Callithrix jacchus: one gene and its partners. Each later gene encodes a partner of the first gene's protein in a complex. Links are inferred from orthologs where the notes say so. Each region holds a gene or a part of one and is shown on either strand. Other genes may lie near its edges.

Region 1 (3,643 bases):
AAATGCCCTCTCCACACACATATTCAAATAGAACTAAAATGAAATTGAGCACTTATTTTTAAGAAGAGTAAACTTTGGGCTGAGAGTAAGGAAAATGTACTAGAAGCATTAAAAGCACGAGCCAAATAAGAGAGAATATCACAATTTAGAGAAAAGTGTTTATTGACTGAATAAATATGTGTGATGGTATAATTTGTATTGATTACTAGCTATCACAGCCACCTGCCTCTGTCCCCTAAAAAAGAAAAAACCTCCCTAAAAAAAGAAGTAAAAACATACTATCTTTGAAGACACTCATGATTTTCCAACGCTTTGATGCATGCTGAAACCAGTAATCTGTTTTCTCAGATGATTTCTAGTTGATTACTTTTTTCTTGACCAAGAACACTACACTATAATTCAAAATGTTGGTTTCCAGCATCAACTGGTTTTCATCCTTAGAGGTTATTTTTTTGTTTGTTTTTAATGTGCATGGTATATTACTAGAAAAAACTGCACTTAATACTCAACTCAGCAGCTCAGAGCAGCTTATCATATAGAAAAATGGCTTCTACAAATGATCCTAATACATTGTAATTTCCTACCTTCCATTCAAAATCCAGTTGCTTCATAGCTCGGTAAACTTCAGCCATAATGTCATATGGTTTGCTCTGACTTCGGATTCCAAGATGCCACTTGGCTTTTTTCACAGCTAAAGATTTGGGCTTAGTTGTATTCAGTGCATCCAATGGACATCTTGCTTTGGGGCTGTCTGCTATAAGAGGTGGCATCCTTTCTGGATGAGGTTTCAGGCCTGGAGGAATATGCATGGCACTATCATCCATAAAAGAACCAGATGGAGGACTAGAAGCGAGGTAGAACTCACTGGCTTGATTCATTATTCTCCGATTGTCAATGATAAGATGATAAGCCACTGCAAGCTGGTCTTGAGGGTCACCACTATATAAACTGTTCATTACTTCTGATTCTGTACACTCAAATTTTTCACACACTTCTTTCACAGCCTCATCATCAATGACATTAGCATCATAGGAAGGGTCTTCAGGAAATAAGTAACTGGGCAAATCTTGTTTAAACCATTCATGCTCTCTAGGAAAAACACAATACACTATTGTAAGACATGCTTTGGCAAGTCCAAATAATTTAGACATAGGGCAATACAACATAATACAACCAAAAGATCTGGTCTCTATACCTAGCTCTGCCACTTACTAGCTATGTAACCCTGAGCAAGTTAATTACCCACTACCATTGAATAACTATGGTTATAAAGACTTGGGCATTCAGATGACATTCTCTCAAAAATGAAAAAAGCAAGGCCATCTCTTTAAGGAAAACAACCAGCAATATTTGTTGCCAATGATAAAATTCAAGCTTTCAATAAAAACTTTAAAATTTTGTATTATTTGTATGTGTTTAACAGCTTCCCAATACTTAAAGACTTTCTGATAAAGTTGGTGTTAATAAATGTTTTCCTTTTCCAACCACTTATCTGAGATCATACCTTCTTTACACACTTCAACTACACGAAATAATGCAACAGATTGAATGAAGAAGGTATGAGAACCTAGCTGTCTTTGATATAAAATAATGTCTCTTCTCACAATTATTTTTTGTTTTGGAAGATATAGTTATTTTTCATGAAAGATGTATTATTTAACATATAGTGGTTTATATTTTTAAATAAATTAAATGTTTTCTTAATTTCTCAGTTTTAATTGTAATATAGTAAATATTTATAGATATAACCTACATTAAAATAAATCCCCCTTGAGGTCCTCAATAATTTTTCAGAGTTACGGAATTCTAAAATCAAAAAGTTTGAGAACTGCTTTCTTAAGCCATATTTTCTCACGCTTCTGGGGCTTTGCACTTGATGTTACTATTGTTATCCTAGAATGTCAAACCCTTTTCATCTAATACAAACTACTCCTTCAAGATTATTCCTACCTGGTAGAACTGGGCTTCCCATAAGATAAATGCAGATGAAGATATATTTTGACTGAATGTCCTCTATTCACTGATTAATTTATTCATAAATATTTACTGAGGAAATACCATGGACAAAAAGAAATACTGTTCCTCACAAAGATTATATTTTAGCTGAATAGAGATTAAACAAATATACATGAAAATATAGTTACAAATATGCAAATCCTGAGAAAAATATTGGAGAAGAAATTGCATAGAGTAAAATGAGAGTGTTTAATTTAGAATGAGAAGTGGGTGATCAGGGAAGCCACTCTGAGTAATATTTAAGCAGACACTAGAATGATCAGAAGTCAGCTATGCCAATAGTTGGGGAACAGATATTCCCAGCAAAAGAAACATTATGTGCAAAAACCATGAGACAAACAAGAGTTGTGCTGTGCTCTAGGAACTGGAATGAGCTCAACATCATGAAAGCAGAATGAGTTGAGATGAGTGCCAAATGAAATCAGATACTTCTAAGAATTGGAGGCTATAAAAAGGAAATCTCACAATTTGAACCGGTGGTTGATAAAAATCATTGAAGGATTTTAAAGAGATGGGATAATATAACCTAATTATCCTTCTGTAAAGATCATTTTGTTTGTGGTATAAAAACTGAATTGAAAAGATAAAAATGTTGATGATGATGATGACGCTAGTTGCAATAGTCCAAGTGAGAAATGATGGTGTGTCAACCCCTGAGGATATGTACAAAGATAAAACTTCTACAGCTACTAGATTTTTCTATCACAACACATTCTTATAGTTGTTTTTTCTTGATCTTGCCCACTAAACTGAGAGCTTCTTGAAATAGTGACCACACCTTATTTAGCTCTATCCCACTATGTAGTACAGAGTAAATGCTCAATAAATGCTGAATAAATATATGAATAGACAAAGTATGAACACAAAAATTCATTCATGTGTTTATTTGCTATACAATAATATTAAGCACCTATTAATGTTTAGCAATAAAAATAACTGAGATAGATCTTTTCTATTTTTTTTTTGTTTTTTTGAGACAGAGTCTCACTCTGTTGCCCAGGCTGGAGTGCAGTGGTGTGATCTCGGCTCACTGCAACCTCTGCCCCCTGGGTTCAAGTGATTCTCCTGCCTCAGCCTCCTGAGTACACGGGATTACAAGTGTGCACCACCACACCCAGCTACAAAAGAAGTAACAAAAGACAAAAAAATTATGTTACTTGTCTAATTTTTTTTTGAGAATTTTTTTTATTGCCTAATATTTTTTAAATGACAAGTAGAGAAGTTAAACACTTTCACCAAAATAAACTCAAAAAATCTATTATTTCATAAAACAAAATACCAGTAAAAACAGTCTAAGTCAACTTTTTCAGAACCCTGGAAATTAATCAAAGGCTTGCAACAATCTGAAGACTGTCTATTCAAGAAAAATGGCTGAATTTCAGTAAGAAAGGTGAGATTTGTGGCTTTTTAAGTTGTCCTATGTCCATTTCCCTTTGTCCAGTTCCATGGCAGCCTTGAAATGCAACAGCCTCATAATCACAGAGCTGAGAAAACCAGGAGCTTAACAACCACTGGGGCATTGGGGTGGGGAAAACAGAAGAACAGAATAGTATATAGCTGCCCAAAACTCCGACCATAAGAGAACTGTCATTATCTTACTTACCTACCAGTTCTCTGGAAATCTCCC
Region 2 (4,296 bases), on another chromosome or scaffold:
CTGAGAAAGAGTGGCCTATGTAACTTGGGGTTTCCCATCACTGGGCGTGTTTAAGCCTAAGGGGCATATCTTGTTAGAAATGTGTTACAGTAAACAGTATTCCTGTATCCTTCATTCCACAAATGCTTATGAAAAGTCCATTCTGTACATGAAAAGGAATCAAATCTGGATCTTCTCTCTCCCAGCTGTCAAAGCAGTGCTTCTCACACACGTTAAAATGCACATTCTGAACCCTGGGGCCTCGATTATGAACCCTGGGGCCTCGATTCTGTATTTCTAACAGGCTCCCAGGTGATGCCAACGCTGCTAGTCTGTATAATGCAGAGGAATAAACGTTTCTAGTAGGGAATGAGACATACAAATAACTATAATACAAAGTAAGAATTTGTAAATACCTTAGAGATTTCAGTAATTGTCATAAAAAACCTGGATCCCTCCCAACGCTAGGGCTGTCTTTGCCCTTTTTATACCTTTAGTGTTCTTTCTGACGTTTTCGTTGTTGCTCTCTTCCTTGAATTTTATCTCTTCTGAGGTTTTTCACTGTGTATGCTGTTTCGTAGCCTAGGAGAGTCTTTTCGTCCGACTCCTAAGACTAACATTTTACTAATTTGTCAAGGTCTATCTCCTAAACACTCCATCTTGAATTCTTCCCTGCGACCCCAGTCCAAGGAAGGGCTGACAGTTCCTTCCTTGTCGCTCCCCATAGAACAATTTTTTTTTGTTTTGAGACGGAGTCTTGCTCTGTAGCCAGGCTGGACTGGAGTGCAGTGGTGCGATCTTGGCTCACTGCAACCTCCGCCTCCCGGGTTAAAGCGATTCTCAGGTCTCAGGCTCCTGAGTAGCTGGGACTACAGGCCCGCGCCACCACGCCCAGCTAATTTTAGTATTTTTAGTAGAGACGGGGTTTCACCATGTTGGCCAGGATGGTCTTGATCTCCTGACCTCGTGATCCACCCGCCTCGGCCTCCCACAGTGTTTGATTACAGGCGTGAGCCACCGCGCCGGGAGCAACGACCACTGCTTCCTTCTGCCTGGAGCTGGAAGTCCGTTTTCTTCTTCCCTATGAGGGTCCCACCTGCCAGGTCGCCTAACACGCAGATGCTGCCCAGAAAACGTGCTGGCGCATCTGAGGCCGGGTCGAAAGCCGCTCCGCTCCTCCCGGCACCAAGCACCGGAGTCCAGGGATGCGGCCTCCGAGTGTCATTTGGGGACGTCCCTCCGCCGGGTAGTCTCAGGGGCCCAGCGGTCCAGCCATCCCGGGCGCAGCCTCGCCAGGCTTCACAGGCCCCGCCTGGCGCCCCCTCCTGGCGCTAGAGGCTGCGCGCGGCTGCCCACCATCGAGGCGGCGGCTAGAGAGGCCGGCGGGCCCCGGGCGCCGCGGCTGCGGGCCGCAGGGAACGCGCACGGGGCGGGCTCCGCGCCGCCGGCCTTGTAGCCATTTTAGGAGGAATCACGGATCTGCAGGGCGGGGTGCGGCTTCAATTTCAATAACTTTATTGGTGGCGTGATCTGCAGAACAGCCATCACGTCAGTGGCCCCTGGAGGAGTGAGCGCTTCGCCCGAGGTGACTGGGGTGGGGGCGCCCCTGGCTGTGAGTGCGGGGACGCGGGGGACGTCCCGATAGCAGGGTTCCTGGCTAGCGGCAGCGAGCGCGCCGGGGCATTTGCAGGCGTCCCCGCAGGCCGGGAGAGAGAGGGCTCCGGGGCTCGGCGTCCCTGGGGCGGGGAATCCCTTGCGCGGTCCCACGGCGCAGGGGCGGGGCTGGGGTGTTCACCGCCAGGTGTTGTTCCCCGCGGTAGGTGGTCCCCGCCGAGCTGCAGCCATGGGAAACACCGCCAGCGACCGGGTGTCCGGGGACCGTCACGGCGCCAAGGCTGCACGCGCCGAGGGCGCCGGCGGCCATGCCCCGGGGAAGGAGCACAAGATCATGGTGGGAAGCACGGACGACCCCAGCGTGTTCAGCCTGCCCGACTCCAAGGTAAGTGTCCCACGCGCCCAGCTGGTGGCTGAGCTGCAGCGGGTTGGTTTCCGGGCTCCCGTTCCCTTTCTCGGTTCTTTCCAACGGGGTACTGAACCGGGCGGTGGTTTTTTGAATTAAAGGGATTTTTCCGGGACAGAGGTGTTGGACGGTAATTCCTCTTGCAGTGCCGCCTCAAAATTATAAAGAGAAGGAGTTTTTGTTTTCCTGGTGTTCTGACTACTCTGTTGGCCACAGTTTTAGGATGGGGACAATAGACAGCCTCCCCCACCACCTTGGTTTTTCCTAACATGCACGAGTGCCCTCTTCTATAGCGTTGATGAATTTGTAGTTTGTAAGCTCTGCTGGAAAACTTCAGAAGGCAGGTTGCAGGAGCTGCTGACTATGGGTGGTCTTTCTTTGCCTTGAGGTGGCTAAATGAATTTCTTTTTTTCTGAAAATTTCTGCATCAGTATCATTTTTGCCCTTCTAGCCGTTCTGCTCTTGTGATCTCTTCCCTTTGGCAGGGCTGTGAGCAGCAGCTACCTAGTTATGGAATACTTTCCTCTAGTCTTGGGGACCAATTAAGGACATCATTTGGTTGACTGCTTTATTTTTGTCTCATACTTTATAGTTATGGTTGAGGTTGTGCCACTTTCACGCCCCGCTGCTGCTCCTCAGGTGGGAGAGCAGATGATTCCACGACTTGTTTACTCCCCAGTGGTACTTCAAAATGTTGCGTGGCTAAAAATCCACAACCCAAATCTGCCCTGAAGTCCTTGCCCTCAATTCCAAGTACTTTCAGGAAGAGGGCAACTTATTTTCACTCTGTAAGAAAGGACAGATGGAGCTGATAGCAGTGGTTGCCATTCTGATGTTTCCAATCGCTTTTAGGGTTGTCAGGATGAGATGTATGTAATTCTTCCAAGTAGGCTGACGGGATGAGATGGAAAAATGGAGGGCTTGAGGAGATTGGGGTGTGTTTGATGTTTCTTATCATTTCATCACTTCCCAAGGAACTGGAGCTTTAGAGAGTGAATAGAGGATTATTTGCCATATTGGTAACGCATGGAATTTGGATTCTATGATTGATTTCCTTGGATCTCAATTGATAACATAATCACAGCTGGGCGCAGTGGCTCATGCTTGTAATTCCATCACTTTGGGAGGCCGAGGCGGTCAGATCATTTGAGGTCAGGAGTTCGAGACCAGCCTGACCAACATGGTGAAACCCTGTCTCTACTAAAAATACAAAAAAAAAAAAAAAAAAAAATAGCCGGGCGTTGTGGGGCATGCCTGTAATCCCAGCTACTCGGGAGGCTGAGGGAGGAGAGTCATTTGAGAAGGTGGCCGTGGTTGCAGTGAGTCTAAATGGAGCCACTGCACCTGCACTCCAGCCTGGGCGACAGAGTGAGACTCGGTCTCAAAAAACAAAGAAACCAAAATCACAGACAGAGAAGTGAGAGTGATTAAAAGGAGCCTTTCTTGGGGTTTATTATCCATTCTTTTCTTCCCCTGAGAATTTATTCTGCATCATTTGGGCTTTCTACAAGCCATCTGACTTTATGTCTTTGGAGCTTTCTAAAGGTGATCTGCCTCATTGTATTTTTATCCTTTTCCTATGTTGATGACTCAGGATTTAAATACAGTGTATTTGTCAAACTGTGACTGCAGTAATCGGTGTCCTGATTAAAAGCCAGGTTGCTCTGTCTGATTTGGGGCCTATTTTGGATTATTCTTATCTCTCACCTCAGTCTTGCCTTTTGTGAATTTAGAAAATTATTCAGATAATTTTCAGATTGTCTGAAAATTAGTTCAGATAATTCTTAAGGTCTTACTTAAATCTAAAATTTTATAGTTTTCAATCTGCCCTCTTTACTTCTAACCTCAACATTTAACTGTAGTTCTAATTGTTTTGCCCGTTTTCCTCGTAGTTTTGCTGAGTAACTTGGAGTAAACAGTCTTTCTGCTAGTGAGCTGCATTCATTCCTACCACAGAAATGTCATGTCATAAGTGGAAGGGCTTTCCTCCAAAGCTAGGCATATTAATAGTTTGTAGCTTTCAAATTCTAAACTGAAAATCCTGCCGTAAAAGTAAGTGATAGAAACAGGCAGGGGCTTTGAATGCTTGCCTTTTTCAGTGGACTAGTTCAGTGGTTCCAATCCTGTTTGCATATAAGAATCACCTGAGATTTCTTTAAATACTTTATGGAAAATTTGAAACATTTACAAAGTAGGAGAAACAGCATAATGATGTCTATATACGGGCCACCCAGTCTGAAGAATGATCAGATCTCTAAGGAATGACATCTATACCCCAGTCCGCTATTTCCCCACTA
Region 3 (4,399 bases), on another chromosome or scaffold:
TAAATTAGCCAGTCTCCGGTATTTCTACAGAGCAGTGTGATAACGGACTGATAGACTAGGTGGGTAGTCTAGGTTTGTGTAAGTACACTCTATGATGTTCACACAATGATAAAATCACCTAATGATGTATTCTTCAGAACATGTCCCCATCATTAAGTGACGGATGACTGTACATGAAAATTTAAGAGGAACAATTCTAGAGCTGTCAACTTGAAAATGGGCAAATCCAGATTTTGAGGAAGGGAAAATCTACTCACAAAGTGCTGTCTAGGCACTGGGGAACAAAAGGCAAGACAAAGACTGAACCCTCATTAGGATAAACGACAACCTCCAGTGTGGTAGCCTCTGTATAACTGAGGTATTCCAGAATAAGTGAGAAATAAACTCATTCAACTCTATCTGGGTGATATATATGTAGTCATGCACCTTTTAGATTTTTTTCCTAGTCAGAAGTCAAAGACTTAAAAAGAGCAGGAGGTTCAGGCTGGAAAAGACTCTTAAGGGTATTAAGCAGGTTTCTAGCACCTTCATTTCAAATACTGACCTCAGCTTATCCAAATGATGCCTGCATTCTTTGAATTCTAATAAGATCTACATTATTAAAGAATAACAGACTGGAATCACTTCACACTAACGATAACTCATTATACCCAAAATAAGTGCACTGGCGTAGTTAAAAGAATTTATGGCTTTTTTGGAATCTGGGGCATTCAACCCAGGGCTACATGATTTCAGTAACCTCTGATGAAATGAGAATAGGCGCTGCTTGAAATCATTCCCCATAGATTATGTGTGTGCTCAACACTTCCTGTAGGAGTTTTGGAATAGTAACAGAACAAATACTTCTTGAAGAAAATAGTTTTGATTCTTTTGGTGTCTTCAAGAGCCTTCTTGGGACCAGGGACCAAAATTACTTCCTGGGTAAAGAACAGTCAAGTCATTGGAGAAACATGATTCGAAACGTCACTTTGCACACAGCTCTTCAAGAATGCAACAAATTCAGAAAGCAAGTTCAAACTACATGTTGTAGGGACACACAAAAGCAGCTCCTTTGTAGGAGGCTCAAAACTAAGATCCAAAAGAAAGTGTGAGATGTGATCACTTCACGCTACACGAGGACAAACACAGGTGGAATGAGTTGCCAGGCAATTAAATGGATGATGATTAACATGAAATTGGATACTAACAGGGTATGTCGGGCAGAGGGCAGCTTTATCTTTCCTAAACCTACTTTGTTCCTTGAAACAAGTAGTTCCTTTCAGACATAACACATAAATACCAGCTGCAAGAATCACTAAGTGTCCTTGGATTCGGCCCTGCAGCTGGAAATACCCGCCCTATGAAGGTGGTTAACAGGAGTGTGGTTGAAGCAGGAGTCAAAAGTCACCTGAGGTTTTGATGAATTAAAACAGGCTGCACCAGGAAGAAAAATGTTGGCACGGCTTAAAAGCAATTAAATCCTATTTAAACAACATCAGAAGGAAGTTCCGTAGCTGCTGACTGCCTCCTTTAGATGGACCCTCACTACCCCCGACCTCTAGAAGTCGAATGACTTTTCTATGTCCACTTAAAAAAAAAAAAAAAAAAAAAAAAAAAAGAAGGGTGAGGCTGGGAGCAGTGGCTCATGACTGTAATCCCATCACCCAGACGGGTGGATCGCTTGAGGTCAGGAGTTCGCGACCAGCCTGGGCAACATGGTGAAAATCCAACTCTACCCAAAATACCAAAAATTAGCCGGGCATGGTGGCGCACGCCTGTAGTCCCAGCTACTCGGGAGGCTGAGGCATGAGGATGGCTTGAGCCTGGGAGATGAAGGTTGCAGTGAACCGAGATTGTGCCACTGCCCTCCAGCCTGGGCAACAGAAAGAGATCCGTCTCAAAAAAAAAAAAAGGCCGAACCGGCCAGCACTTTAGGGTGAATCAAGTGTTGACAGAACTGAACACCTCCGGCAACTGCCGTCAGCCGTTCCACGCTTTCAGCTTGTGTATGTACCTGGTTTGCCTCCAAAATGGATAATAAACTCTCTAACTTTTACAAAAGTTGCAGTCTGTGTAAAGGTGAGGGAATTTGTCTCAAAGCGGCGAAATTAATTACACCTAAGAGAAAGGTGGAGGATGGGACTCAAATGCTGTTAGCTCGACTCTCTGAATTAATTAAGAATTGAAACTCTGTCCCAGAGCTGCTTCTCCTTAATGATGTTAAACGAAGTACGTGTCTCCTCCCTTGGGAGGACTTTCTCATATTGCTAATTAGACACAGGTTCCTGGACTGCTAAGAGGGCTCTTACAGGACCATCTGGCTTTTAAGTGCACCGGGTAAGGTACCACCTCCCTCCTCGTTCTGATGGTTTTCGAAAGGATGTGGCGGGAATCTAGTGGAGGGTTCCTCTCCTCAACATTAGTCAATGGGAATTGGATTATCCCACACCCCTCGCACCTTGATTTCCTCGGAGTGGAAGAGGTCGGCATCCTCGGGGCTGTCCATCAGGATCTTGGGCCTGTCCCCATCCTTGGTGCCCCCCGAGCTGTCCCTCCGGGGCGTCTTATGGCCACCATGCCGCTCCAACGCGGCGCGCTCACTGCTCGTGTTGCCCATGATGGGGGGTCTGCGGGGACACGGGGAAGCTGGACGGAGCCTCACTGCAAGAAAGGGACCCTGGGCAAGGGACTCCCGGAACCGCGGGTCCCAAGGAGTCCGCGGAAGGAATTGGAACACCCCCTTGGGCGAGGGTTGAGGCCGGGAGCTGGTTTCAGCCGAGTCACCGGGGCTGCGGGGCTCTCGCAATAGTGCTTTACCCGCCCAGGCAAGCCGCGGCGAAAACCCAAAAGAGCGCGAAGATAAACCGACTCTCAATCGCTCCACCACCCTTCAGCGACTTCCGCTTCCGGCGACTCCGTAAATCTGCCCGGCCTAGGGCGTAGAAGTGGCTGCGGCCGACTAAGCGCGCGACGCTATCTCGATTCTATTTCCGCTTCCGGTCTTGAGCTGTGCGGTTGCAGGTGCCCCTGCGCTGGCTCTGCAGGCCTCGGAGCGCGCAGTCGCAGTCAGCAGCCGCCCGCCTATGGCCCGGCTCAGGACGAGGCTGCTGAGGGCCAGCAGGGGGCGTCCCAGCGCTCCGGTCGTCTGGGCCATTCACACGCTGGGCTGAACATGCCATTAACTATCTTTGCCTACTTCTAGTTGATTCTACACTCTACAGCCAGAGGGATCTTTCTAAAATGCAAATCTAATTAAGAAACCCCTCTTCTTAAAGCCCTTTTAATGCACGCGCTCTCACGCTTTACAATTCATTAGGTTAACCCGGAGCGCTTGTTAAATGCAGCCCCCACTGCAGAATCTTGATTTCTGGAGATTAGGGTCAGGGGTGCAGGCAGTCGTGCAATTAAAGACAAAATGGCAGACCATAAGATCTCTGGAAATCTCTTATATCTAGTAGGTTGGGGGTTGTAAAATGCTGGCGTTATTAGTGTATTATTAAAATGAGTGTTTAATCTTTGGATACATAATTTTGCAAGATACCCTGTAATCACTTCGGAAACATCCTTCTGCGTAAGATGCATTAGCATTTGTCGTTTACCCTAACCAGTGCTTCAACAAGAAGTGCATACAAATACGGTGGTAAAATATTCTCATCTTCTCACTGTCAGTCATTGTCATATTTTGTGTTTTTTTGGGTGTGTGACTATCTCAACATACATTGCATTTGCTGGGTCAGGTCATGCATTTCACCCACTAAACATTTATTTATCACCTGAAAAGTACCAGACATTGTGCTAAGGAAATGAGAAACACAGGATGACTAAGGTAAAGTTTCCTGGAGGGAATTTGGCAGTACGCATCAAAATAAAAAATACACCTTCATTTGACACACAATTTTATTCCTAGGAAACTTCTGCAGAAATAGACACAAGAAAATTATTTACAAGCATTATTTACAAAATATTTACATGCAAAAGCATATTCTAAGATGCACCTGTCACCCCCCACACCCCCACATATTTTAATTTCTGAAATTGGATGCGTTTTACAATCAATGGAATCTTAGATTTGGTGTGAAATAAGGAAATGAAAAACTACAAAATCCTAAAAGTTGTTCAGAGGGAGAATGGCTAAATGAGCGGAATACATTCTTTTTGTAGAATATCTTTTTAAAAAGGAAGAAACAATTTTTAGGTCACTATGGGGAAGTGTCTATGATATTGCAAGGTCCGGAAACAAGTGAGAGAACAATAATGTTCAAGAGCATGAGCTCCGAATTCAGCCTGCCTGGGTTCAGATTCTGGTTTTACCATTTAGTAACAGGCACCTTGTGAAATGGGAATTAAAATAACACCGACTTTAAAGGCTTGATTTGCGAATTAATTGGGAACACGCATAAAAATGCTTAGCATAGCACTT

The links. Proteins that work in one complex are often made in the same cells at the same time.
Region 2: the proteins of PRKAA2 (region 1) and PRKAB2 are in contact, whole or in part, in a crystal structure (PDB 6B2E), measured with the Homo sapiens proteins. The link is inferred for Callithrix jacchus from reciprocal best matches to the Homo sapiens genes PRKAA2 and PRKAB2. Residues at the interface, in NP_006243.2 of Homo sapiens: Gly9, Arg10, Val11, Lys12, Ile13, Thr21, Asn48, Arg49, Val58, Gln66, Gln81, Val82, Ile83, Ser84, Thr85, Pro86, Thr87, Asp88, Phe89, Met134, Met164, Ser165, Asp166, Gly167, Glu168, Phe169, Leu189, Ala191, Glu194, Pro253; in NP_005390.1 of Homo sapiens: Val60, Ser61, Gln64, Glu67, Asp68, Ser69, Thr73, Gln74, Ala76, Pro78, Thr79, Val80, Ile81, Arg82, Ile106, Ser108, Val113, Ile115, Val155, Ser158, Asp159, Phe160, Glu161, Phe163, Asp164, Lys167, Leu168, Gln191, Met193, Tyr194.
Region 3: the proteins of PRKAA2 (region 1) and PRKAB1 are in contact, whole or in part, in a crystal structure (PDB 8BIK), measured with the Homo sapiens proteins. The link is inferred for Callithrix jacchus from reciprocal best matches to the Homo sapiens genes PRKAA2 and PRKAB1. Residues at the interface, in NP_006243.2 of Homo sapiens: Gly9, Val11, Lys12, Ile13, Thr21, Lys29, Lys31, Asn48, Arg49, Arg53, Asp56, Val58, Ile61, Lys62, Ile65, Gln66, Lys69, Val82, Ile83, Ser84, Thr85, Pro86, Thr87, Asp88, Phe89, Phe90, Met134, Met164, Ser165, Asp166; in NP_006244.2 of Homo sapiens: Pro79, Thr80, Val81, Arg83, Thr106, Ser108, Asn111, Val113, Ile115, Gln154, Val155, Asp159, Phe160, Glu161, Val162, Phe163, Ala165, Leu166, Asp169, Ser170, Lys172, Cys173, Pro186, Tyr187, His188, Gln189, Glu190, Pro191, Tyr192, Ala202.

What each region holds. Positions count from the first base shown.
Region 1 is NC_133508.1:93,781,027-93,784,669, reverse strand, and holds part of PRKAA2 (5'-AMP-activated protein kinase catalytic subunit alpha-2), read right to left. Parts: intron 1,090-3,643; coding exon 585-1,089; intron 1-584. UniProt on the Homo sapiens protein: Catalytic subunit of AMP-activated protein kinase (AMPK), an energy sensor protein kinase that plays a key role in regulating cellular energy metabolism.
Region 2 is NC_133519.1:7,290,427-7,294,722, reverse strand, and holds the start of PRKAB2 (5'-AMP-activated protein kinase subunit beta-2), read left to right. Parts: upstream 1-1,422; 5' UTR 1,423-1,564; intron 1,565-1,799; coding exon of another isoform or gene 1,800-1,822; coding exon 1,823-1,978; intron 1,979-4,296. UniProt on the Homo sapiens protein: Non-catalytic subunit of AMP-activated protein kinase (AMPK), an energy sensor protein kinase that plays a key role in regulating cellular energy metabolism.
Region 3 is NC_133510.1:122,778,315-122,782,713, reverse strand, and holds the start of PRKAB1 (5'-AMP-activated protein kinase subunit beta-1), read right to left. Parts: upstream 2,875-4,399; 5' UTR 2,597-2,874; coding exon 2,438-2,596; intron 1-2,437. UniProt on the Homo sapiens protein: Non-catalytic subunit of AMP-activated protein kinase (AMPK), an energy sensor protein kinase that plays a key role in regulating cellular energy metabolism.